Arabidopsis thaliana: one gene and its partner. The protein of the gene in region 1 interacts with the protein of each later gene in a pairwise test. Each region holds a gene or a part of one and is shown on either strand. Other genes may lie near its edges.

Region 1 (8,022 bases):
ATAGGTGATTTCGGGCTTGCAACGTTTTTTGATGCGAGTAAGAGGCAAGAGATGACGAATCGGGTTGTTACTTTATGGTACAGATCACCAGAGCTTCTTCATGGTGTTGTTGAGTACAGTGTCGGAGTTGATTTGTGGAGTGCTGGTTGCATTTTAGCTGAGTTATTAGCTGGTAGAGCGATAATGCCAGGTCGTAACGAGGTTAGTTCTCAAGTAATGATCTTTTTCTTTCCGATTTGAGTTATTTCATATGAAATGTGAACTGGCTTAATGTTCACGAGCAGGTCGAGCAGTTGCATAGGATATATAAGTTATGTGGATCGCCTTCAGAAGAATATTGGAAGAAGATTAGACTTCCTTCTACTCATAAGCATGCTCATCACAAGCCTTTACCACAGTATAAGAGAAGAATAAGAGAGGTTTACAAAGATTTCTCTCCTGAGGCGCTTTCTCTACTCGATACGCTTCTAGCGCTCGATCCAGCTGAACGCCAGACAGCTACAGATGTGTTGATGAGTGATGTAAGTTTTTTGCAATGGAAATTTTGAAACTTTGAATAGAACAAACTAGTTAGGGGTATCAAGTTAGATTACAGAAATGAGAGTGACGCTAAGAATGAAAAATGCTTGGAACTTGTGAATCTTTAGGCGTGTGACTTGATAGTGGTTAAAACTTCCATGGCCGATTTTGTTGTTGTTGTTGTGCAGTTCTTCACGACGGAGCCATTGGCATGTCAACCTTCTGATCTCCCGAAATATCCTCCAAGTAAAGAGATTGATGCCAAGAGACGAGACGAAGAGTATCGGAGGTAAAGCGTTTCTGTTCTAGTATGGATAGGTTTGGTACAATCTCAGTTTTAGTCAGAATATGTTTTGGTTTGGTATATGGTTGCTTGAGAGATGTATTCATTTCTGCAGACAAAGAGAAGCGCGCAAGGCCCAAGGAGAGAGCGGAAGAAGAATGAGACCCCGAGAACGAGCCCCAAGAGCAATGCCGGCTCCTGAAGCCAACGCCGAGAACCAGTCTAACATTGATGTAAGAATTTAAAACAAAAAAAGAAGTGAATCTTTGATTGGTTAATGTCTTGAGTACTTTGAACTTGTTCTCTTAAAACAGAGGATGCGTATGATCACACACGCGAATGCAAAGAGCAAGAGCGAGAAGTTTCCTCCACCGCATCAAGACGGGTCACTCGGTTTTCAGGTGGGATCTTCAAGGCGACTGGATCCATCAGAGATACCGTATAGCACAAACTCATTCACATCATCATACTCCAAAGAGCCATTTCAAACTTGGTCAGGCCCTTTGGCTCCCATTGGAGCACCTGACTCAACCACAAGGAGAAGAAACGATATTAACAAAGAGAGAAGAATGGCTTCTAAGGTCAAAGGCAAAAGAATCGTTGTTTGAGATAATAATTATTATTCATCTCCAAATTTCAAAAGTTTCCTTTTTGATAGATTGAGAAAAAAACAAAATTCCAAATTTTATCTTTTTGGTGGGTTATATGTTCTTTATTTGGTTGTTATGTGTATTGTACAAGAGAATTGACAAAACACAGAAATGAGAGGAATTAATTTACATTCTATGTAAATTATTTATTTGATCCTTATATTTATTGTTCTAGAAGCCTACGTCATTATTGTAAGAGTTGACGTAATATAAATGTTTTTGAAATTGAAAATATGTATATTGGTATAGATGCCAATAAAAATCGTAGCTTTCGTATATAGAGAGACCTAAAACTTATTAATTTAGAGACATAAGAGCAACTCCAACGCTTAGGATCGTGAAAGTTTCTACAAAATCAAAAAATAATAATATTTTAATTTTATAATTATATTCTATTTATTTAATATATGCAAACCACTAATGTGAATTTATAGGATCGATCTTTGATTTAGGAATTTTAGAGATTCTCTCTCATCTTTATTTTAATTTTTATTTGTTTTTCTTGTCTTTAATAGTTAGAGTTTCTATTAAGAAACTACCGATGCGTTTGCTCTAAACCCCAAAACCCAAAGCCAAATCAGAGATTCTGCAAGACGAGTTGCAGAAGAAAGTGTGGGAATCTCTACTTTTGGTAATTATTCGTCGCAAGTAATGGAAGATAGCAACTCCACGGCAAGTAATGTGGCTCGAGCGATTCTCGCCGTCGTCGATTTCAGCTCCACGTCCGACACTCGCAAATCGGCGGTCCAATTCCTGGATTCTGTAATTTGTTCTGTCTCAATTTGCTCGCTTTTAGTTTTCTGTAATCGATTTGCGTACTTATGTTGCATGTTGCATATAATGATGATGTAGCTGGTGTGATCAAGCTTAAAGGAGGATTTGTTGTACTTTGGGGTTTAATTAAAAAATTGAGCTTTTTATTCGTTTCGATGATTTGATCTCTTGGAACATATACGCAAACGTTTTTTTTTGTCTGATTTGATTGATTGATTGAGCTCGAGTTGGTTCTAATTGGAAATTTCCTACCTTTTTGGTCAGAAAGATAAAACTGTGTTGTCGGAAGAGTTGTTTATTATCTTAACCTAATTTTGTTCAATTAGCTGTTGAAAGTTGGTGCACTGTTATGATGGTGTTTGATTGAGTAATGTGCGGTCTTTGAAAAATACTTGCAGGTAAAATCTGGAGATGTCAGGGTTTTGGCAAAGACTTCTTTTCATCTTGTGAAAAAAGAGTGGTCTTCAGAAATTCGTCTCCATGCTTTTAAGATGCTACAGGTTTGTGATTTTTTATTTTCTTTTACTTATAAATCACAATTTTAGGTTCTGAAGGCAAGAGCATAGAAGAAACCTTATGGTGAAGCTATCTTTCTTTTGCAGCATTTGGTTAGACTACGATGGGACGAATTAAGTCCTCCGGAGTGCAGGGGTCTTGTTAATCTTTCTATCGAACTAATGTCAGAGGTTGCTAATGCAAGCGAGAATTGGCCTCTTAAGAGTCAGTCTGCTGCCCTTGTAGCTGAGGTAAGAGTTCTAATTGGTCCGAGTTTTTTTCACTTGCTATGATCATTGCTACTTGTTCCCGTTCACTTTCTCAGATTGATATCTTTATCTTATTTGCAGATTGTTAGAAGAGAAGGCCCTGATCGTTGGCAAGAGATATTTACTTTATTAACTTCATTGTCTGCTCAGGGCCCCTTACAAGTAAAATGTTCTTTCATTTATTTACTTTAGTGTTTTATTTATCGCGGCAATCATTGAAAGTGTTCCCATCTTCTTTTCTTAAACAATAGGCTGAATTGGTATTGATGACTCTTAGATGGCTTCCTGAAGATATTACAATTTACAATGACGACTTGGAAGGTATTTACGATTAGCATACACTTTATTTTCGTAGTAGTCTGTCCACAGGGGGAAGCTTTTTCTAATCTTGAAGTTTAGGTTAAGCCAAATTGAATCGGTTATGGACAGACCCGTATGCTAATATTTGTTAGTCTTGTAATTTTTTGTGCTCACCTTATGCTTTTCAGTTTAGTTATACTCAATCCAAAAATGCATATCACTTTTTGGGTTATAAATCTTTTCATCCTCCTGTCTAACTTCTGTATTGGACATCTCTTCAGGTGACAGGCGTAGGCTATTGTTGCGGGGACTTACTCAATCGTTGCCTGAGATTTTGCCTTTATTGTATAATGTATGCCACCGATAAATTCCTTTCAGTAAAGTTGTTTTGTTGCTGTGGTAATTTGCTGAATATACCAAAAATGCAGCTTCTTGAGAGACACTTTGGAGCTGCAATGAGTGAAGCTGGTATGCAGCACTTTGACTTGGCAAAACAGCATGCAGATGTAGTTATAGCTTGCTTGAATGCCATCGTTGCATACACTGAGTGGGCTCCTGTTCCAGATCTTGCCAGATATGGAATTCTTAGTGGGTACGATTTTTGTTCACACCCTTAAGAAGATTGTTATATTGATATTAGCCCTGCATTATATCTTGCTGATGACGTGCTCGGATACTCATAACAGGTGCAGCTTCTTACTTTCTTCTTCTGACTTCCGTCTTCATGCTTGTGAGGTTTTCAAACTCGTCTGCTCAAGGTATGCAACTGGGTTGTTTGATCTGATGTGCTTACGTGAGCACGAATAGACAGCTTTAATTTTTGTTTGCTTTTCTTGTCTGCAGAAAAAGACCCAGTGATGCTTCTACTGCAGAGTTCGATTCTGCAATTAGCAATTTGTTTCAGATTCTGACGAATGCCTCCAGAGAATTCTTATGTAGATCCTCCTCAAGTTCTAGCGTTATAGATGACAATGATTATGATTTTGCTGTATGCATGTGTGAGAGTATGGCCTCTTTAGGCTCAACTAACTTGCAAAGCATCTCTTCTGATGGTGGTGTTATGGCTGTTTATCTTCAGCAGGTACTGATCTCGTATTTTTAATGTGTTATTTTGATACTTAAATGGATGTTTTCAGTGAAGAAGGTGGAGCTATTAATTTATATTGGAAAAAAACCCGCTGTCTGTGTTGCAATGGCATTCTGAAACAGAATAAGTTTGAGATATTATTTTAGTTCTTGAATGACCCGATTCCAAGTGTATACTAAATTTTGAATGCTTGCTGATATATTTTGAGGGATCTAAGCCAATTATAACTTTAAAATCGTTCTATTCATGTTAGCAATAATATTATGCATTAGTAGTGTTTTTTCCCCACAAAATAATCATGTTGTGTTTATGTTGCCTTAATCGTTTGTATTGGTATAGATGCTTGGCTTTTTCCAACACTTCAAGTTGGGCCTTCACTTCGAGGCACTTCTCTTTTGGCTGGTATGTGGTCTTCTCTAATCCAACCTTCTTCATTGGGAAATTTCTAAGACAGACATATTTGCTGCTAATTTCAGCGTCTTTTTCCTTTTGGGTTTTAGTCACTGATGCGGGATTTACTTCCAAAACCCAAGGCTGCGACTTATCCAAGTGGTGGGGGATCATCAACTGGCGGTGATGATAGTTCAAGCCAGGTTGATAGTGAAAAGAAAAAGACTTTAAGTCTTATTAATGATGACATCTCGAGCGCTATACTGGACGTATCTTTCCAGCGGATGCTCAAGAAAGAAAAAGTTCCTACTGGAATTGCTCTTTCGCTTGGGCCCCTAGAACTCTGGAGTGATGAATTTGAAGGGAAGGGAGACTTTGGCCCGTACCGATCAAAGCTTGTATGTTCCTGAATCAAATGCATTGGGTATTACTTTCCAGAAAAACACTTAACTAGAAACTTCTTTCTTTCGTGCAGCTAGAATTGATCAAGCTTACTGCTTCTCACAAGCCTCTCATCTCCAGTACCAAAATATCTGAAAGGGTGATTACACTCATTAAGCACCTATTGGCTTCTCCAGCTCCTCTTCAGGTTTTGTCTCGAGCACTTGTTTTCCTCTGTTGACTTCCTTTGACAAACATGCACTCTTAGATTTCTGCTATATGGAGGCCTCTTTGATGATCCAGTTCTTATTTAAACTCATGGTAAAAACATTCTCAGCATGTAGCAGTGATGGACAGCCAGCAATTAGCACTTGACTGTATTGTGGCAACGCTTTTTGATGGATCAAATGAGTTTGCTGGTGGAAGTTCTGAAGTTCATTATGCATTACGTGGAATATTTGAGGGTATATTGCAGCATTTATTCACATTCTCAAGTTTTGTTTACTATGTCTGGGCTTGTACAATACTAATACTCGGTATTGTGCTGTTGATGGCCCAGGATTGCTTCAGCAGCTTCTCTCTTTGAAATGGAATGAACCAGAACTTATGAAAGTGCATGTCCACTATCTGGATGCAATGGGTCCCTTTCTCAAGTATTTTCCAGATGCAGTTGGAAGTCTCATCAATAAATTATTTGAGCTTCTCACCTCTCTTCCACACGTTGTGAAGGTTTATTTTTATTATTTTTGTATTTATTTTACATACATGCGCTCGTATATACAAATAAGACGTTTTCAACTTTTTGACATTGCACATGTCAAGGTGTGGATGAGTTATCTAATAGCTTGTTTCTTTGGCAGGATCCAGCTACTAGTACATCTAGAGCTGCAAGATTGCAGATTTGCACATCTTTCATAAGAATAGCCAAAGCTGCAGAAAAAAGTGTTCTGCCTCACATGAAGGTAGCTTTGATCTCTCACAAACTACATTTAGGAACTCATATCAGTAAACGTTGGAGAATTGTTTGAAGAATTTATGTTTAGTTAAGCTTGTGCGGTGTGATATATGGATATACCACCACTCAATTTTATGGCTACCTTCTCTCTGGAAGATACCTTTATCATACTCTCGAGTATCATGATTTATGACATTATATGGCTACTTTCTCTCTGGGGAAGATACCTTTATCATTTTGGTGGCAGAATTCTTATTTTTCATTTTCTTAGTGGCCTCTCTGGATAATCTATAGCACAAAAAAGTCATGTCAACTGTCATACTGTCATAATTTTGTGCAGGGTATTGCTGATACAATGGGGTACTTGGCAAAAGAAGGAACTTTACTCCGTGGGGAGCATAACATTCTGGGTGAAGCATTTCTTGTTATGGCTTCCTCAGCAGGGTAATGTTTGATTCAAAAATGAAGTTTACTATATTGCATATCTCCTGCTTCAGATTTGTCATGTTCTTAGATATAATCTAATCTTGGCGCAGAGCTCAACAGCAGCAAGAAGTTCTGGCTTGGTTATTGGAACCATTGAGTCAACAGTGGATCCAACCAGAGTGGCAGAACAATTATCTATCAGACCCGATGGGTCTTGTTCGTTTATGCTCCAACACATCCTTCATGTGGTCCATATACCACACTGTTACATTCTTTGAGAAAGCACTCAAGCGAAGTGGATACAGAAAAAGCAATTTGAACACGACCTCTGCGACAACTCCAGCTTCACATCCTATGGCTCATCATCTTTCTTGGATGTTGCCACCCCTCTTAAAAGTATGGCCTGGAAATGTGGACATGCTTAGTATAATTCATAATTAAGTTCCTTAGTGCCATATTGGGATGATTTTTTCGTTTTCGTTTTTGCAAGAATAACATGACAACATTCATTTTTTTACATCTACAGCTACTCCGTGTTCTTCATTCCCTTTGGTCTCCCTCTGTATTTCAAACATTACCCCCAGAAATGAGGGCGGCAATGACAATGACTGATGCTGAGCGATACAGTCTCCTTGGTGAAGCAAATCCTAAATTGTCAAAAGGCGTATCGGTTTATGCTGATGGGTCATTCGAAGGAACTAAGGAAGGACAAGCCGAGGCAAGTGAATCTGATATACGAAATTGGTTGAAAGGTATCCGAGATTGTGGGTAAGTTTGTTGTATCCTCCTTTGAGCAAGCCTTGCATTGATCATTTGATTTTTCTCTCATTTATCTAAACTCATAAGTGTTTGTTTACATGTTTAGATACAACGTGTTGGGCCTATCAACAACCATCGGAGAGACATTCTTTAAATGCTTAGATGCTAACTATGTTGCAATGGCACTCATGGAAAATTTGCAGTCGATGGAATTCAGGCACATTCGGCTGTTTATTCATACCTTTATAACTTATATAGTCAAATCTTGTCCGGCGGATATGTGGGAGTCATGGCTGGGAGTGCTTCTGCACCCATTGTTTATACACTGTCAGCAAGCTCTCAGCTCCGCCTGGCCAGGTCTTCTACAAGAGGGCAGAGCAAAGGTTCCGGACTTGTTTGGCATACAAAGTGGATCAGACATGAAACTTGAAGTGATGGAGGAAAAACTGTTAAGAGATCTAACTCGGGAGATTGCGACTCTCTTTTCAACAATGGCTTCTCCTGGACTAAACACAGGAGTTCCAGTTTTGGAACATTCAGGACATGTTGGTCGTGTGGACATGTCCACTCTCACGGATTTGCATGCGTTCAGATCCAACTCTATGGTGGGGTAAGTATACTACATCTATATTTCAGATTAAAAGTTGTTTGGATAAAATAGATAATAATGGGAAAAAACAAATTGGATTGCAGTTTCCTCTTGAATCACAAAAGCGTAGCTCTACCAGCACTGC
Region 2 (4,590 bases), on another chromosome or scaffold:
CCCGTGCTTAGTAGCTGTAGTGGACATGTGGAGTAAAATAAATTGAGTAAATTGTTCTCTGTTCCTGCTATGAATATGGTTTCAACATGTATACGATCTCAAGCATAATGATCTTTACAAGTAGTCTCGATGCCTAGCATTTAGGCCACAGTAATAGTCTTTTGTAATGAGCAAAGTATACACCATTAATCATCTTCATTGTGCTGAAAAATACTTATTCCAGCTAGCTTACCTTTCTAGTACCTCTGGCTTATGGTTTTCAGGGAGCATGCACCATCAATCATCTTCATGGATGAAATCGATAGTATCGGGTCTGCTCGTATGGAATCTGGTAGTGGAAATGGTGACAGTGAGGTGCAAAGGACTATGCTTGAGCTTCTCAATCAACTTGACGGATTCGAGGCGTCAAACAAAATCAAGGTATGCCTTATGTTGTGAATGAAAAAATAGTCATGAAGCTGAAAAGGATAACTCTGTGTTACTCTGAATTTCGCAGACAAAGTTGTTAATTCTCTTAAATGACTGTTGCAGGTTTTGATGGCTACAAATCGTATTGATATTCTGGATCAAGCTCTTCTCCGGCCTGGAAGGATTGATAGGAAAATTGAATTTCCTAATCCTAATGAAGAGGTAATGCTTGTGTTTCTTAGGACATGATATTAGAAATAACTTTAAACTTGAAGTAGCAACTTTGCTCACTCCGTTGTTTTTGGTAAACTATCATTTACTGCGTAAAATACTTTTCTCCATACTTATTGTACCCAAAGTGAGGCAGGACGGTTTGGCTAATGTATATTTCTAATATGTGTTGCAGTCACGTTTTGATATCTTGAAGATACACTCAAGGAAAATGAATTTGATGCGTGGAATCGATCTGAAAAAGATTGCAGAGAAGATGAATGGTGCTTCAGGTGCTGAGCTGAAGGTAAGTGTTTCTCTGTCCCTGCTTCTGTCTTGTTCTCTCCAATCTGTCTCTCTCTAATGTTTTTGGTTATTACGGTCAGGCTGTATGCACGGAGGCGGGCATGTTTGCACTTCGTGAGAGGAGAGTACATGTGACTCAGGAAGACTTTGAGATGGCTGTGGCGAAGGTAATGAAGAAAGACACAGAGAAGAACATGTCTCTGCGTAAGCTCTGGAAGTAGGAATTTCAGAGTCACAGATTAATTTCGATTATTTCTTCTCTACTGTCTGTGGTTCTTTCTGAAACCTTTTCGGCTAGCGCTTTAAGCTTTTCTAAACAATGTTTGTACACTAGTTTCTATTCATTCAAATGGTTGTTCAGCATAACATCTTCGATTCAACCAAGCTTACATTTTACATCTTAAGAGTATATTCTTCTCCAACTCAGTCTCATTAGCTTAAAGAGAAAACCAACTAAAAGATTGTTTGAGACAAAATAATCGACATAGCTTTGTACCTGAGATCCACCGCTGAGGTCAATAGTGAGTGATTTGAATTTGGAGTGTACATTAATTTAGAAATTCAACCCATCTGGCATGTGTCAAGAATAATTTGAAAACTATCCGTTATGAACAATAAAAATCCTTATTGATGAATGGTGTCTATTATTAAAAATTGAGGTATAAATATGATAAAGAAAATAAATAATTTATTTTGTCAAAACCAACGCGTATATATTGTAATGAATTTAATTTCAAAATTTGCTAAATGTGAAAAAAGGAAAGAAAAATCAATGCCGATGAATGAGTACGCGTGGACCTAAAGCTAGAAAAAGATCCAACGGTGGAGAAAGCTGCGTTAAAATTGCAGAAGAACCAAAGAGAAAGAATCCAACGGCCAATAGTGTAGCGTCAACTCAAAGCCAAACCCTCCCAAATTTCTCTTTTAAAAACCCCAATCTCTCTCTCCCTCTCCATCTTCATTCTCCCTCTCGCCGCTTCCTTCTTAACACCATCGCCTGAATTCGCTCTCCTCTAGCTCGCGATTGCGAAAACATGGTACATGTTCTCTTCGATTTTACCGATTTCTTCTTCGTGTATTATCAGATTGTATACCTTGATCTAGGATTATCTCCGTCTCAGATCTCACGAGATTGCGTCGATGTTTCCATGTTCTAGTTTCTAATTTCGTCGTGGATATATTTTTCAGGCTCTACCTAACCAGCAAACCGTAGATTATCCCAGCTTCAAGCTTGTCATTGTTGGTGATGGAGGCACAGGTACGGTACTCTTCGCCGTGTTTTTTTTTATCGATTAATCAATGCTTGGATTTACGTTGATGGTGATTGGGGTGATAGAGATAGGCTCATATGCTAAGCAGATTTTGCTAGTCGACTCTTTATAATCCGTACTGTTGTATCCAGTGGCTCAATTGATTTCAAGTATGGTAATGTGTTTTGATTGTTTTGCTAAACCTTTGATTGCTTTTGGTGGTTGTGCAGGGAAGACTACTTTTGTTAAGAGACATCTTACTGGGGAGTTTGAGAAGAAGTATGAACGTAAGTATTGCTTGTGAATGTTCAGATTTCTGTTCTTCATGTCTCTTAAATGATTCTGATTTTGAGTCGTAATCTTGTTTGTTGCAGCTACTATTGGTGTGGAGGTTCATCCATTAGATTTCTTCACAAACTGTGGCAAGATCCGTTTTTACTGCTGGGACACTGCTGGACAAGAGAAATTTGGTGGCCTTAGGGATGGATACTAGTAAGTGTGGACCCTTTACTTTCTCATTGATAGGTTAGTGTCTAGAGTCAATCTAGAGTGTGCTTAGTTTGGATTAGCTCTGGTTAGGATTTGAAATTGGCAACCGATTAACCTGGACAATGGGTATAAGACTGGTATGTTTTGAAGTATGCATAGTTTGCAACTGATTTTGTTACCTGGACAAATAGAGTAGAACTTGAATTTTAATTTTGATATTCCATCTGGATGTATAGCTAATCATCTTTGAATTTCTTGCAGCATCCATGGTCAATGTGCTATAATAATGTTTGACGTCACAGCACGGCTCACATACAAGAATGTTCCGACATGGCACCGTGATCTCTGCAGGGTGTGTGAAAACATCCCGATTGTTCTGTGTGGGAACAAAGTTGATGTGAAGAACAGGCAAGTGAAGGCAAAGCAGGTTACATTCCACAGGAAGAAGAATCTGCAGTACTATGAGATATCAGCAAAGAGCAACTACAACTTTGAGAAGCCTTTCTTGTACCTTGCTAGAAAACTGGCTGGAGACCAAAACCTTCACTTTGTGGAGACACCAGCGCTTGCTCCACCAGAGGTTCACATTGACATTGCTGATCAGCAGAAGAACGAGGCCGAGCTCTTACAGGCTGCAGCTCAACCCCTCCCCGATGACGATGATGATATCTTTGAGTAAATCATCCTTCTAGAATGTCTGCCGTGGGAAGCTCTTGCTTGTTCCTTTTGGTTTTCTCTATGTTGTTTTGGTGTTACATATAAATCAATCGGTCTTTCTTATAACAAAAATTAGGTATGTATTTTTGGATGGTTCTTCTGATGGTATCCAAAGCTAAGTTGTTTCTTCGCAAGAATATTAGTTGATTGGAAAACTTTATTCTACCTCCTATTACTTGCCAGTTCTTAGATTTCAGATGCCACTCTTTAGCTACCAGGTGATGTCATATAAACCTGGGTAAAATTAGCTGCAAGTAGATCTTGTTGGGAGACCTGACCTGCATTGACAATGGTTAAGTTCTTTGCCTTCCCCGATCTCTCTAGCTTTGCAGATTCTTCTGCAATCCTCTTCCTTTTCTTCTTTGAAACTTGATCTTCTTAATCAATCCGCACCAGAACTTGTAGAATAATAATCGGATAACTTTTTGTTTGGCAACCATTCTTGCATTGAAGAATGAAGTAACCCTTTCCCTCAAATCAACGACCGATTTCAATCCGTGATTCCAGACATTTTCTTCAACCGTGAGCTCTAAGACCAATTTCTGCAAGTTTGAGCTTAAGAATTTATCGATGTGTATATTAATTTCTGGAAATATTGTTGGTATTAATATGTTACCATTAAATTTGAAAGGCATCATTAGATGGATGTCATGTGAGTGAGTACTTGAAATTTTGAAACTATCCGTTACGGACAATAAATCCTTATTTAAATGATTTGTTAGTAAAAAACTATGCTACAAATAAAATCAAAACTTCACATACGATACAGGAAATAAATATATTATTTATTTTGTCAAAACTCAAAACCAGGACCTAAAGCTGAAAAAAAAAAGATCCAACGGTGCAGAAAGCTGCGTAGATATTGGAGAGCCAAAAGATGGAATCTAACGGTGGAAAAAATAGCGTCAAACCTAAGCCAAAACCTCCCAAAATTCTCCTTATTAAAACCCCATCTCTCTCCCTAGTCCCTCTCGCCGCATCGCTTCTTAAACCTCGACGACATCAACGTCTGACTTCGCTTCTCCTCTCACATGGTGAACATTCTCTTCTCTTTTCCCGATTTCTTCGTCTTGTAGTATTTAGATCTCACGAGATCGCTTAATTTCGTTGATGTTTCTTTTTTCGGATTTTACTGAATTTTGTTGTGATATCTTGTTCAGGCTCTACCTAACCAACAAACCGTAGATTATCCTAGCTTCAAGCTCGTCAT

Evidence for each region.
Region 2: the proteins of HST (region 1) and RAN-1 interact in a two-hybrid assay, tested with the Arabidopsis thaliana proteins (one study listed by BioGRID).

What each region holds. Positions count from the first base shown.
Region 1 is NC_003074.8:1,402,177-1,410,198, reverse strand, and holds the start of HST (ARM repeat superfamily protein), read left to right. Parts: upstream 1-1,908; 5' UTR 1,909-2,103; coding exon 2,104-2,214; intron 2,215-2,624; coding exon 2,625-2,726; intron 2,727-2,828; coding exon 2,829-2,972; intron 2,973-3,071; coding exon 3,072-3,152; intron 3,153-3,241; coding exon 3,242-3,311; intron 3,312-3,571; coding exon 3,572-3,642; intron 3,643-3,718; coding exon 3,719-3,882; intron 3,883-3,976; coding exon 3,977-4,048; intron 4,049-4,133; coding exon 4,134-4,371; intron 4,372-4,716; coding exon 4,717-4,779; intron 4,780-4,877; coding exon 4,878-5,165; intron 5,166-5,242; coding exon 5,243-5,356; intron 5,357-5,485; coding exon 5,486-5,612; intron 5,613-5,707; coding exon 5,708-5,877; intron 5,878-6,008; coding exon 6,009-6,110; intron 6,111-6,443; coding exon 6,444-6,547; intron 6,548-6,639; coding exon 6,640-6,925; intron 6,926-7,055; coding exon 7,056-7,297; intron 7,298-7,394; coding exon 7,395-7,898; intron 7,899-7,981; and 1 more. Other genes in the region: AT3G05050 (Protein kinase superfamily protein), read left to right, coding at 1-201, 285-521, 708-808, 918-1,035, 1,117-1,410. UniProt on the Arabidopsis thaliana protein: Nucleocytoplasmic transporter involved in the nuclear export of microRNAs (miRNAs). Required for several miRNAs accumulation. Specifically required for miR156 accumulation which targets SPL3, SPL4 and SPL5 transcription factors.
Region 2 is NC_003076.8:6,758,406-6,762,995, forward strand, and holds RAN-1 (RAS-related nuclear protein-1), read left to right. Parts: upstream 1-1,688; 5' UTR 1,689-1,958; coding exon 1,959-1,961; intron 1,962-2,112; coding exon 2,113-2,182; intron 2,183-2,404; coding exon 2,405-2,461; intron 2,462-2,548; coding exon 2,549-2,666; intron 2,667-2,924; coding exon 2,925-3,342; 3' UTR 3,343-3,925; downstream 3,926-4,590. Other genes in the region: AT5G20000 (AAA-type ATPase family protein), read left to right, coding at 264-420, 532-630, 815-925, 1,005-1,145; RAN2 (RAS-related GTP-binding nuclear protein 2), read left to right, coding at 4,412-4,414, 4,541-4,590. UniProt on the Arabidopsis thaliana protein: GTP-binding protein involved in nucleocytoplasmic transport. Required for the import of protein into the nucleus and also for RNA export. Involved in chromatin condensation and control of cell cycle.